4 linked regions of the Danio rerio genome follow. The protein of the gene in region 2 interacts with the protein of the main gene of each other region in a pairwise test. Links are inferred from orthologs where the notes say so. Each region holds a gene or a part of one and is shown on either strand. Other genes may lie near its edges.

Region 1 (2,251 bases), on a different chromosome or scaffold from region 2:
TACTACTCTGATCTATACTGCATGTGTGCTCCACACTAGAGCTCCTCAGGCAGGATGAGCTGTGTGGTTATAGTCTGTTGAGGAGATGATCAGAGCCGTGTGCTGGCTGATTACTGCCTGAGTTTGAGGGAGGAGCTTGTTTTGGAGGCGGGACTTGATGTGTATGGGTCATCTCTAATAAACAGTGTGTGTGTGTGTGTGTGTGTGTGTGTGCAGGAGCTGCCTGCAGTGAACGTGTCGTGGTCTGCTGACGGGCCGCAGCCGCTGGGCTTCATCCACATCTCGATGGCGGTGGCGACGGATCGAGGCCTGATCACGCCCATCATCAGAGACGCGGCGGATAAAGGCCTGCAGGAGATCTCCAGCACCGCTAAGGTGAAGAACAGGCCCGAACACATGTGCTCCTCACTCTCAACAACACACACAGAGGAGTGAGGAGGTCCAGCATCTGCTTTACGTCAGAATCCTATAGTCTGCATGAGCCGGGAGCTGCGGTTTTACCCTTATTGTGCTGCTGTTACCATAGAAACACGATATTTAATCGGTAAACAGTGGGCGTGGCTTGTTTGTTCTACTGCGAGCTGATTGGCTGTAGTAAAGTAGGCGTGTCATTCAGAGAGATGGCAGAAGGGTTTGGGGAGAGTTATTACAGCCTAACAGACTCCTCCTCCTCACCATTCTGTCTGTTGTCATAGCGATGACAAAACTGACAGCTGGAGGGGCGTGGTTAAGTGTGTTAGCCACGCCCAATACCTCAGACAGTCGTATTGCTGTGTGCTGACCTCCTGTGTGTGTGTGTGTGTGTGTGTGTGTGTGTGTGTGTGTAGGCTCTGGCACAGAAGGCTCGGGATGGTAAACTCCTGCCAGAGGAGTATCAGGGAGGATCCTTCAGGTGAGCGTCTGCACGGTGTCGTTCACCACATATCAGCATTCACTTACTCAGGAGCTTCTGGACCGTCAGCAGTGTGTCTCCTCTGTTGAACACTGAAGCAGATATTATAGGGAAGCTGAATCTACTGATGTCTGTAGTGAGAAAAACACTTACTGTAGAAGTCGATGGTTACAGGTCTCCAACATTCTTCAAAATATCTTCTTCTGTCTTCAACATCAACAAAAGCAACTCAAACAGCTGTGGAGAAGTGAACAGAGTGTAGATGATGACAGGATGATTTTTGTTTCCTTTAATTACAGCTTTGATCAATGAAACTGATCACTTCATCAATGATTTACCGTTCCAAAGTGTTCAGAGCAGCTGCTGGCTCCACCTGCTGGTCAAACTCTGCCAGTGCAGCAAACACTCAGGCAGAGCCACACACGTTTCAGGCACACACCATCTATGCAAACCATAGATGGTTACGAGCTGATGTTAATGTTATTAATGACAGACATCATCATCAATATATTTATATATGTATATTGTTAATAAATATCGTACACAATAAACAATAGTGTTTACTATTTCACAAATATGGCAATGGGGATCAATGTTTCTGATCGCCATTCAATATAACAGTGTGAAGAGTTTTCCATCAGTCGTCATTATTATATGTCAGAGTCAGTATAGCAGATATTTATTTGCTGACTGCTGTTTTCAGAGATATACACCATCTACATTGGACAGGTTTCATTTATATGAAGGATTCATTATAATGAAGGGAAAAGAGCCAGTTAATATGTATATAATAGATCTTTATATGTCATGCAAATCTTTTAATGAATGTAGAACACTATATTAATCTTGTACTCCAGTGATTGAATAGCATTTATTTCTAATAACTTTTTTATTAATGATTTCCCACATTAAACACTGGAGTAATTTATAGTAAGTAAAATATTGTTTTTAAATCATAAAGTGCTGGCAATTATAATTACAACATATAGTAATACAGACAAATTAACTGTTAATATATATATATATATATATATATATACATATATATATATATATATATATATATATATATATATATACACACACACACACACACACACAACAGTTCTGTCTGGTTCTCAAATCTGATTGGCTGAAAGCCGTGCGATATTCTGCAATATCAGAACTCTTACAGCCTCTTTACGGTTTGTGTATTACTCCGCCCACATACAGCCAGCAGAAAGCAGACACTCCACATCTGAAGTGTAAAAGATGCTTGCTCAGCTGTTTCACTGTCAGCTTATGATTTGAATCCAAGGCGGAAGAAAGTAGTTCCTCATACAAAAGGGGTTTTGAGACTCTCCATGTTTGATTTAGTTT
Region 2 (4,100 bases):
GGCGAAAACACAGCTTAATACCAGGTGTCAACAGGGCCTAAGATCCCTCTGGCAAATTAGTTATTGAATGTTATCGTGGGCGAAGCAGTGGCGCAGTAGGTAGTGTTGCCGCCTCATAGCAAGAAGGTCGCTGGGTCGCTGGTTCGAGCCTCGGCTCAGTTGCCGTTTCTGTGTGGAGTTTGCATGTTCTCCCTGCGTTCGCGTGGGTTTCCTCCGGGTGCTCTGGTTTCCCCCACAGTCCAAAAACATGCGGTACAGGCGAATTGGGTAGGCTAAATTGTCCGTAGTGTGTGTGTGAATGTGTGTGTGGATGTTTCCCAGGGATGGGTTGCGGCTGAAAGGGCATCCGCTGTGTAAAAACTTGCTGGATAAGTTGGCGGTTCATTCCGCTGTGGCGACCCAGATCAATAAAGGGACTAAACCTACAAGAAAATGAATGAATTTTATCGTGGATTAATTTTGACACATGAAACAATTTCATCAAACATTGTTTGATGCTGAAAATCAATTACCTTGTTGAAAAACAACTTGTGGTCCATAAATGCTTTTGTAAACACAATAAAATTTTCTGGAATGGAAATTGACAAAATAAATATTCATGTATGTCCCTGCTTCGGGCCCCACTACTTTATTACTGTATTTTGTTAATATTCTGTCAATGAATAAAAATTGTCAATATTATGCTAAAAAGATGCACACACAGCTAGAGTATAACTGACTGATGTAGCTGAAGAATCCTTCTGTAGCAGAAAACAGATAAAAGGAAGAAAACAGTGGAAGTGAAAGAATAGCTATAATAAGGTAATGTGTGAAGATTAATTAAAACTAAAATAGGTTAATTGCAATCTCATATTAGCTGGCAAGTTCATACCATAGCAAGAAACTTGTTTTCTTAAACATCCAAAGGTAGCTGTGCAGTCTTAATATATTCAAATACAAAAGATCTCTTAGCTGGTTTTAAGTTTTTTATTTGTCTTCTGAGTAAAAAAACTTTCCTGGAAATATCTTTCTGTGATAAACAAATCATAAATTTGATATCTATAATAAAAACAATTGTACTGTTACCATTTTAAAATTACTTAACACTAGCCGACCTATGGGGTTTTTATAATTTTATTCCAGTATCATTAGGCCTAAAAAATGTAAATTTATCGCTTAGCTGTATGTTGTTGTAGGAAAAAAAATCTAATGTTAAAATAACACTCTGTTTCAGGTTTTCTAGTTGTGCTTATATGCTCTGAAGGAGTAATGAGCAGAGGTGGGAGGTGTAGTCACATGACACTTGTCAGGCTGAAGTCACATGGTTTGTGTTTGCAGTCACTTCAGAACAGCACAAATTTCTACACACAGTTATGATGAAAGTGTTTCATGCTTCCTTAGTGAAATACTGAAAACTACATAGGACCATTTAATTCTGAACAGGCAGTGAAAATATGGAGATACCAGCCATAAATCTGAAGGTAATTTATTTTCAATCATTTGTGCATTACAGTGAGTACATTGATATTATTCATTATCAAATAATTATTTGATTGGTAAAGTATCCATTAAAAGTTTAAAGATAAAAAGTTTTGTCATTGTGGTGTCATTGTGGTTTTGTCATTTAAAAATGAGTCTACATTTTATGAAACCAAATGGGAGGCTTCAAAGATCACTTTCTTAAAGAATTTATCAGTAACTGCTATTGTTATAACTGCAAGCAAGCTTTTACATTAAGTTGATTGTTGTTATTGTGAGGGTGCAGCGAGGAAACAATAACATTCTGAATGGAAACACAAGGAAATCCTTGCTCTTTCTTTTGATTTAAAGCAGAATTTGTTCAAAGCATGCTGACCATAACACATTTTCTGTTTTATAAATACCCCACATTATAAGTGCAGCAACACACTGTCTCTAGAAAATAATATACTATATGTGTGCATTTACTCATGAACTGCACTATATGTGTTCTCTCTGCAGGCCATTTTGTTGGTTCACTGGATACTGACAGTTTGGTGAGAGTTATGGCACATTTTTGCTGTTTTTCATCACTAACCTGAGGAATTTCACCTTCGGTGAATGTTTATCTTCCAGTTTTCTATTCATCAGAAATATTTCTTCTTCAAATTGAAGCTTTCTAAATATCTGTTAAACACCTAAACATACAGTTGTTTTTCTTAAGTAGTAGTACATTGAAAAAGTGACTAAAGTGCACATATTTTCAAATATCCCCCATTTGCATATTTTAAATATAGTGGAAGCTTTACACTTTCAGTTAAAGGTCAAAGTATTTCATTAATACTGTGTGCATTTTTCGAGGAGGCAAATCAATCAAATTAATTCAGCTGTTCAAAAAATAGTTAATATTTAATATTTTCTTCTTTAAACTGAATTACTTCTAAATACATTTTTACATATCAGTTTAAATTACTGAAGAAATATTTAGTTCCATAGCCATTGTTTAAATGAGTACGCCCCTCACAGATCTCTCTTTGAAATTAATATAATCCGTAGGATGCTATACAGTTATATATTTGAGCATATACAGTAGATTGGATTAGCTAAAACTGAAACTAATCTAACAAAATTAAATAAAAATGACAGATAACAGTCCATAAATATGTACAGGCCAATTTATTATGTTGGGAAAAATATTGCACACAATTCTAATAAACAGGAAAAATTTAAAACATTAAAAAGAGAGAATTTAGTTAGAATTTGGGTTTTTTATTTTAATGTTTGAATTTAGTTGTATTAGCTTTCTATTACTAAAGAAATTAGGTGGCCAATCTCTTATTTTAATGGATATAGATTTTAGGGATTTATGGATATAAATATATTGGCTATATAGGGTATTTGCACACAGACTTTTAATTTTCAGCCAGGCAGCCCAAGGGCTTCCAGTAAAACTGTTTTTTCATTACAAAATTGTAACATTTAAGATCTGATTTCTTTAAAAATCAGCAATCTTCACTGCCTGTTAGATATAACAGAAGAAGAATTGCATTAAATTACATTTCCTCCCGCCATTTCTTTAAAATATGACAGTTTATTTTTACCCAGTATTTTCAATTAAGTGTCTGCGTAGCCTGTTGCTACTGACAGTCCTAGTGGTTACAACGGTCTTTCATCTTGTTTTACACCTAAACAACTAAATGAATGCTAAAGTCTGTGAATGTTATCGACTTTCGCTTTCAGATTTAAAGGGCTAGCATTGCACCAGACCCCCGTAAGTGGTGTGGTTTGAAAGTGTAGAATCTAGATTTTATCAACATATGCATCACTTTGGTTTTCATTCTACTGTATAAAAGTTATTTACACTTAAATTCACAGTATTTTGGATACCCCAGCTAGGTATTTTACATTGTTCATTTTCATATTTTTTTTTATATGACACATGTCACAAGTTATAGCTCAATTGAAATCTCTTGCCGGTGCTCATTCAGTTCTAGCATTCTTTTTACTGAATTATATTCATATTCCAAACAGTTGTTGAATGAATTGTGGTGTTTCCATGGCGCAGAAATGTAAACAATACATTTATGATCAATAAGCAGCCCCAGATAGCACAGACAGCTGTCATCTCTTACCTTATGCTGTGCCCTTCAGGGCCATTCTCCTCTGTTTTTGAGGTGATGTGCATAAGTAATCCTTTTATATGTCTGATGTGGTCCAAACTCAGTGAATTATATTTGATCAAACAAAAGAATAGTGAAATATGAAAACAATGATCGGTCCCTGTGGCTTGTACAGCACCTCTCATTAGTTGGAATGCAATAACTTTTGCATAGATTATGGTAGAGACTTTTTTCTTTTTTTAGACATGTGCAGGAACCACTAAAATTAATTACAGCACGCTAGACCACACAGAACCTAAAAGGTACACTTTCAAATTAGATTTAAAAAAAAAAAAACATAAAGCGCCTCTTTTTTTTAGGTGTTTATTATAACACAGACAACATATACAGTTATTTTAAACACTTTCAATAGTGTTTTATGAAAATTCAAAGGGTTTTCTTTAAAATTATACCAAATTTTTGCATTTACACCTCTTTATGTGGATTTGAAAAGCTTTTAAATTTGGGTAGGCAAAATCCAGGCGGAAATCCCCAAATAGCAGC
Region 3 (2,979 bases), on a different chromosome or scaffold from region 2:
AGGATCTTTTTGCAGATCCTCTCCAGTTCTGTCAGGTTGGATTGTAAACGTTTGCTATTTAAGGTCTTTCCAGAGATACTCAATTGGGTTTAAGTCAGGGCTCTGACTGGGCCATTCAAGAACAGTCAACAGTCATCTTCAGGCAGTTCCTTTGACCTCTTGATTCTCATTTGCTCTAACATGCATTGTGAACTGTAAGGTCTTATATTGACAGGTGTGTGGCTTTCCTAATCAAGTCCAATCAATATAATCTAACACAGCTGGACTCAAATGAAGGTGTAGAACCATCTCAAGGATGATCAAAAGAAACGTACAAATCCTCAGTTAAATATATGAATGTTACAGCAAAGAATCTGAGTATTTAGGACCATGTAATATTTCAGTTTTTCTTTTTTAATAAATCTGCAGAAAAAAGTCAAGAATTCTGTATTTTTGTCAATATGGAATGTGGTGTGTACAGTAATGAGGAAATAATGAATTGAAATTATTTTAGCAAATGGCTGCAATATACCAAAAAGTGAAACATTTAAGGGGGTCTGAATACTTTCCGTACCCACTGTAAGTAAGAGACTGAGAACAATGAATGTGAGGTAAAATTTGTCAGCAGCATAGTAGGCACAATCTATATGCATGCCTAATGTTTGCCCTGCTAAAAAATCCAGCTTAAACCAGCCTAGGATGGCTGGCTGGTTTTAGCTGATCGACCAGCCTGGTTTTAAAGGGGTTTTGGCCACTTCCAGGCTGGTTTCCAGTCATTTCCAGCCTGGTCTTAGCTGGTCAGGCTGGAGAGGGACCAGCTAAAACCATCTAAAACCAGCTTGACAATCCTGGTTTAAGCTGGACATAGCTGGTTTTGGCTGGGCTCCCAGCCTGGCTAGGCTGGTCAAGCTGGTAGAGAATCTAGAGAATCTATGGCTCCTGAGCCGCATGTGGCTCTTTGACCAAAAATACATGGCTCTCCAGGTGTCGCCCTAATAACATACAGTTTAAGAATTTTAATCTTTCAGTGTCCTATTGAAAATACAAGAACAATTTGCATTGTATTTTATTTTATTTATTTATTTTTACAGCAAAATGAATAAGAACTATAATTAATTAACAATTGTTAAATAATTAACAATTAAAGGGCGTTTCGACCAAAGCGCGTGTGTGGTGCTGTAGATTATCTTGAATCAGGACACCAATTTAAAGGGCAAACAACTTATGTTGCTATGGTAACCTTGCGCATGTAAATTCAAACAACATTTGACGACTTGCTCAGCATACACACCCCAATGGCTCTTTAAAAAAATGCATTTGCCAAAAAAATCAGGAATGGCTCTTTGCTGAAAAAAGGTTCCTGACCACTGCTATAAGATGCTACTTCATTATTAATTTTCAAGTCATCATGACTCATCAAACATCATTTAACTCATGTAACGTTACACTAAATCAAGCACGTGTTTGTGACAAAAACTGATTGTCTCGTCTTTTTTCAGGCTCTGATCCTGCAATTCGACCCAGCTTCACTCGCTCCATCTCTGTTACGGATGAATCGTCACTGAAAAAGATGGGGGTTACGACTCTAGACATTCCAAGCTCTCAGTCCTCCCTCAAGGGTCCTGTGAGATTAAAATCAACCCCAGAATAACACCTGCAATGACCACTGCCAATACCACCTTGACATCTGCCAAATATCTCTCCACTTGGACTGTCTCTTCTAGAAAAAAACTGGTTGAAATGAAAACACAATCGTCACTTTCTGCTCACCATTCCCTGCATACCTGTGTTTAATGCAGAGGATGACATTAACAAAAGCACCTTACTAAAGAACGTTAGGTACTATGTCTAAACAGACTGGAGCGAAACCATTCAATTTTCTCCCAGACAAGACAGTCTCTACAAAATGCATTCAACCAATGGTCTATTCACCAGCCTATGAACATGAATGGATGCACATATTCATCCGAGCACAGAATGAAGATGAAGAGGCTCTATTGACATAATGAAACAACCAGCAGACAGTGTCGGTGAAACCCCCTCATATGGATCACGGCGAATGAAAGTGACTAGCCAAAATATCTAGTGGCTTACGGGATATTGAGACTAACCTTTGACCCTGTATCAATACATTGATGGAACATAATTGATTGTTTAGTCGTGCAGCACATCGTGAGAACTTTATCAATAGTACTTTGGGAGATAAGACTAAAGACAACAGCAGACTGAGCATTATGCATTATTTGACATTGATATCACATCCATCATCTGTCACTTCATGCCACATTCTCTGTTAGTCTCTGTTTAGGTTTGGTTTTTAAGGATTAAAAGGGAATTTGGTATTTTCTGTCATTTGTTGAAGAAATAGTTAAACTGACCTTAACTTGCATCTCTGGTTAAGCCAGTTTTGTTGATTAAGCTGTTCAAGCAAACAAAGTAATGTTGAAAGTGCCTCATTGTATATTTTTATAATAAATTTACTAAGGAATGCATGACATTATATGCACCACACTGGTCAATATCAAATTTTTACAAAAGTTAACAGGAGAAGTGCCATGACTTTTCACATTCTAAACAATGTTTACTATGAGTTTATGCCATTCACTGTATGTTCGCATCGCTTTGCAACGTATGGAAAACAATAGATGTTAGCCAGGCAAGGTAATAATGTTGCATTTCAGAGGCTGCATCTTTCAAAGGATGCATTTGAAGGGCGCTCTGTCATCATGGAGCTACGAAGGCGGTCTCATTTTAAAAAAATCCGAAGGCTCCTTCAAATGCAGCCTCAAAATGCATCCTTCGTTTTCCAGATAATAAAGGATACAACCGGTGGATTCTCAGCGGCCTCGAAGATTCATGGCTCACTGATAACAGCAGGACGTTTTTAAAGGAAAACTCTGGTTTAAATGTATGAATTAGGTTTATAATACTGGTTAAGAAACTGTTATACTAATCTGTCCTCGAAAACAAACGTACAGTATCTCCTACTAGGCCGTTCAT
Region 4 (3,500 bases), on a different chromosome or scaffold from region 2:
TATATATATATATATATGTGTGTGTGTGTGTGTGTGTGTGTGTGTGTGTGTATGTATACTACACCCATTTGTAACAGCAACTTGTGCTCTAGACCAGCTTTTAACAGCAGATGGCGCTCTAGAATAGTTTTTAATGGCACATGGCATTCTAGTTTAGTTTTTACAAGCAGCTTGTGCTCTAGGCTTGTTATTAACAGCAGATGGAACTTTAGTTTAGTTTTTAACAGCAGTTGGTGCCTTAGTCTAGTTTTTAACAGCAGATGGCACTCTAGATTAGTTTTTAAAAGAAGATGGCACGCTAGATTAGCTACTAACAGCAGATGGCGCTCTAAGTTAGTTTTACCAGCAGATGGCGCTCTAGTTCAGATTTTAAGAATAGCTACACTCGAATGCTCAGGAGGAAGAGTTGCATTCCAGTCATGCAAGTTGGCTTTGATGCCATGCGATCAAAGACATGAACGCTCATTATGAACACTTGTAATTCACTTAAACCTTTCCTAACTTTAATAATTATTTTAGGTTCAAGTGGTATTTGTATGGAATTGCAGTGCAAGCAGAGTATGGCAGTTTGTAAGCCATACAGCGCCTTCTGCTGTTAAGAACTAAGCTCAAAGTCTCAGAATCGATTTTTCAAACAGTTTTACACAGCTCTACTAAACACAAAGTTACCATGAATGTGCCATGAAATATTGTGTGAGGTATATTATTCCCTCATAATCGGAAATAATGTTAGAATCTCCACTAAAGAGAGAGAGAGTCCATTACGAAACAGCAAAGCCATGGTTAATTTGTGGTCACCATGGTTTTATCTACAGAAGCCATGATTTATTTGTAGTAAAATCTTGCTTAATTTCTGAAACAGACAGGATGGTGGATAGATATAAAGAAATATTTGAGCACTAAATGTTGACCAGTTAGATGTCATGAAATATCAATGAATATATAACTGTTTATTTATGTTGTTATTGCTAGATATCAGTATCCCACTATGGATCAGCTAGCTGGGATGCTTCCTAGTGTGGTGCAACACTTTGGGTAAGAGTTGTTTGATTATATTCAAAACAATGAGCTATAATAGTAAACCCATTCCTTAAATGTCCTTATTTAAATTAGTCAACTCTCTCTCTTTTCGTTTTAGCTTCAAAAGCATTGTCGGAATTGGAGTTGGGGCTGGAGCCTACATCCTGGCCAAATTCGCGGTTAGTACATCTCCTCCTTTTACTTTACTATATTAGTTTATATTATTAATTATTTACATTTAATGCAATTCTGCATGTCTACTCGCAGCTGATTTTCCCTGATCTTGTGGAGGGTCTGGTTCTGCTAAACATTGATCCCAATGGAAAAGGATGGATCGACTGGGCTGCCACTAAACTGTCAGGACTCACCAGTACTTTACCAGACACCGTACTGACCCATCTTTTCAGCCAGGTACAATACTAGCCTACATTGCTTTTTTTTTTTTTTAAATAAAGTCAATTTAAAGGTGGTTGGGATGAAAAGTAAAAGATGTGTTATGTATCTACAGAAGACACACACGTAAAAAGTCTTTCACTTTAATTATGATTTATATAACAAAAATTTTAGTTATTCATATTTAGATTTAAAAGACTCTTTTAATGAATTAAAAAATTAAAGGGTATTCATCACTCTCCCTCAAATGCTTCAAAACCTGTTTGACTTTCTTTTTTCTGTTGAACACATAAGAAGATATTCAAAACATGCTTGAAACCGTTAACCATTGACATCCAGAGAAGGAAAAACAAATACTATGGACGTCAGTAGTTACCGGTTTCAAACATCCTTTGGGATCAGAAGTAGTAAGAAACTCAAACAGGTTTGTGACAAGTAAAGGCTGAGTAAATGATGACAGAATTTTCGATCCCACTTTATATTATGTCATTAACTATTATGTACTTGCATCAAAATATAGGCAATATAGACAAAATAAGTGTAATGTACTTAATGTGTTCATAAAGTATTGCAGAACTTGTCTTGTGCTATTGAGGTGAGATATGGGTAAGGTTAGAGGTGTGTTTAAAAGTGGATTAAGGTGTATGGGATGGTCAAAAATGTAATTCTAAATGTAATTACAGAAATGCAGGTATTTAATTAAGGTATACAGGTATTTAATTAAGCATAAAGGTTCAAACACACCAGGATGCTTCGTTTGCGTTTATTGTCAGCATTTTCGAGACGTTTTTCCGCATTCAAACCCAAGCGATTTTTCACTGGTGTCTAGCAGACACCAGTACACAACTTTAAGCCTCTTTAAGCAACTTTAAGCATCTGACACCCGCTTGTAACACAGAAAAAGAAAGTTGAAACGCTTGCTGTTAAAGTTACTGGCGATTAGAACAAGCATGTGTGGTTCAAGTAGCAGCTCTAGCGACGAAGAAATTATTATTATTCACCAGTGTAATAAGCAGCTCCATGCTCATATCGCTTCTGGGCATCTTCGTCAATGTGCGCTGGCATTGACAGTTTTGTGCTTGAGCGCCTCTAAGTGCTGTTTACTCTAACTTCAGCAGTTTGTGCATGTGTACAAAAGTGCTAATCTGATTGGTCGAGAAGGTTTTGACGTGGCACGTCAAAACAAAAAAATTACCATGAGGCGTTTCTTTAAAAATGGCGCTTTTACGCCTGGTGTTTTTGCGCGTTAGTGTGCACAATGTCATTGGCACCCTTTATTTAGTCAAGAGGCATTAAACGTCATTGGAAAACGCAAGCAAAAAGTGTCCTGGTGTGATTGGGCCTTAAGTACAATGTAAAAACCTGTATTTACACAATAAGTACATAGAAACAAATTATTGATTTCAGTGTAAGTACATATTATTTAAGGTCACAATATAAAGTGGCAACAAACTTTCAGTTTTGGGTAAACCATCCCTTTAAATTTAGGTAGAATTCTCAATACTGACCTAAAATAACAAAATTGTATTTGAATGACAGGAGGAGCTTATGAGCAACACAGAAGTTGTGCAGAACTACCGCCAGCAGATCAACAACACCATCAACCAGTTCAACCTGCAGCTCTTCTGGAATATGTACAACAGGTAAACATTCACCGCCTAATTAATCTGCATAAAATGATAGAAAATGCATTAAGAGAATAAAAGTGCTTATTTCAAAATGTTTTCCCTCTTAGCCGCAGGGATTTGGAAATGAACCGCAGTGGCTCTGTGATAAATGCTAAGACCCTCAGGTGAGGAACTAAATTAATTAGACTTTACCTAACTGTACCTCATTGTTCAGGCTGAAGTTTGAACTGTTTTTCTTGCAGATGCCCAGTCATGCTGGTAGTTGGGGACAATGCTCCGGCTGAGGAGGGGGTGGTGAGTTCTGTTCATCATCCTTCAGAAGAAAAGAGAAAGTTAAAACATTAACTACAGTAATAGTTATTACCATACACTTAAAAATTTTGTTTAAATATGCACATGACATTATTAATGTTAATTTAAGTGATGAAGGATTTTGAAATTCTAAAAGTAAACAGAGAG

Evidence for each region.
Region 1: the proteins of agtrap (region 2) and pdhx interact in binary tests that used the Homo sapiens proteins (3 or more experiments, as listed by UniProt). The two-hybrid records come from large-scale screens. The link is inferred for Danio rerio from reciprocal best matches to the Homo sapiens genes AGTRAP and PDHX.
Region 3: the proteins of agtrap (region 2) and pitpnc1b interact in binary tests that used the Homo sapiens proteins (3 or more experiments, as listed by UniProt). The two-hybrid records come from large-scale screens. The link is inferred for Danio rerio from reciprocal best matches to the Homo sapiens genes AGTRAP and PITPNC1.
Region 4: the proteins of agtrap (region 2) and ndrg4 interact in binary tests that used the Homo sapiens proteins (3 or more experiments, as listed by UniProt). The two-hybrid records come from large-scale screens. The link is inferred for Danio rerio from reciprocal best matches to the Homo sapiens genes AGTRAP and NDRG4.

The regions. Positions count from the first base shown.
Region 1 is NC_133200.1:40,153,115-40,155,365, reverse strand, and holds part of pdhx (pyruvate dehydrogenase protein X component, mitochondrial), read left to right. Parts: intron 1-216; coding exon 217-375; intron 376-827; coding exon 828-892; exon of another isoform or gene 893-984; intron 985-1,045; exon of another isoform or gene 1,046-1,129; intron 1,130-1,230; exon of another isoform or gene 1,231-1,334; intron 1,335-2,251.
Region 2 is NC_133186.1:18,167,959-18,172,058, forward strand, and holds the start of agtrap (type-1 angiotensin II receptor-associated protein), read left to right. Parts: upstream 1-1,300; 5' UTR 1,301-1,433; coding exon 1,434-1,460; intron 1,461-1,959; coding exon 1,960-1,994; intron 1,995-4,100. UniProt on the Homo sapiens protein: Appears to be a negative regulator of type-1 angiotensin II receptor-mediated signaling by regulating receptor internalization as well as mechanism of receptor desensitization such as phosphorylation.
Region 3 is NC_133191.1:13,816,464-13,819,442, forward strand, and holds the end of pitpnc1b (cytoplasmic phosphatidylinositol transfer protein 1b), read left to right. Parts: intron 1-1,478; coding exon 1,479-1,630; 3' UTR 1,631-2,479; downstream 2,480-2,979.
Region 4 is NC_133200.1:14,278,394-14,281,893, reverse strand, and holds part of ndrg4 (protein NDRG4), read left to right. Parts: intron 1-972; coding exon 973-1,035; intron 1,036-1,138; coding exon 1,139-1,199; intron 1,200-1,287; coding exon 1,288-1,431; intron 1,432-2,952; coding exon 2,953-3,056; intron 3,057-3,148; coding exon 3,149-3,205; intron 3,206-3,283; coding exon 3,284-3,335; exon of another isoform or gene 3,336-3,500. UniProt on the Homo sapiens protein: Contributes to the maintenance of intracerebral BDNF levels within the normal range, which is necessary for the preservation of spatial learning and the resistance to neuronal cell death caused by ischemic stress.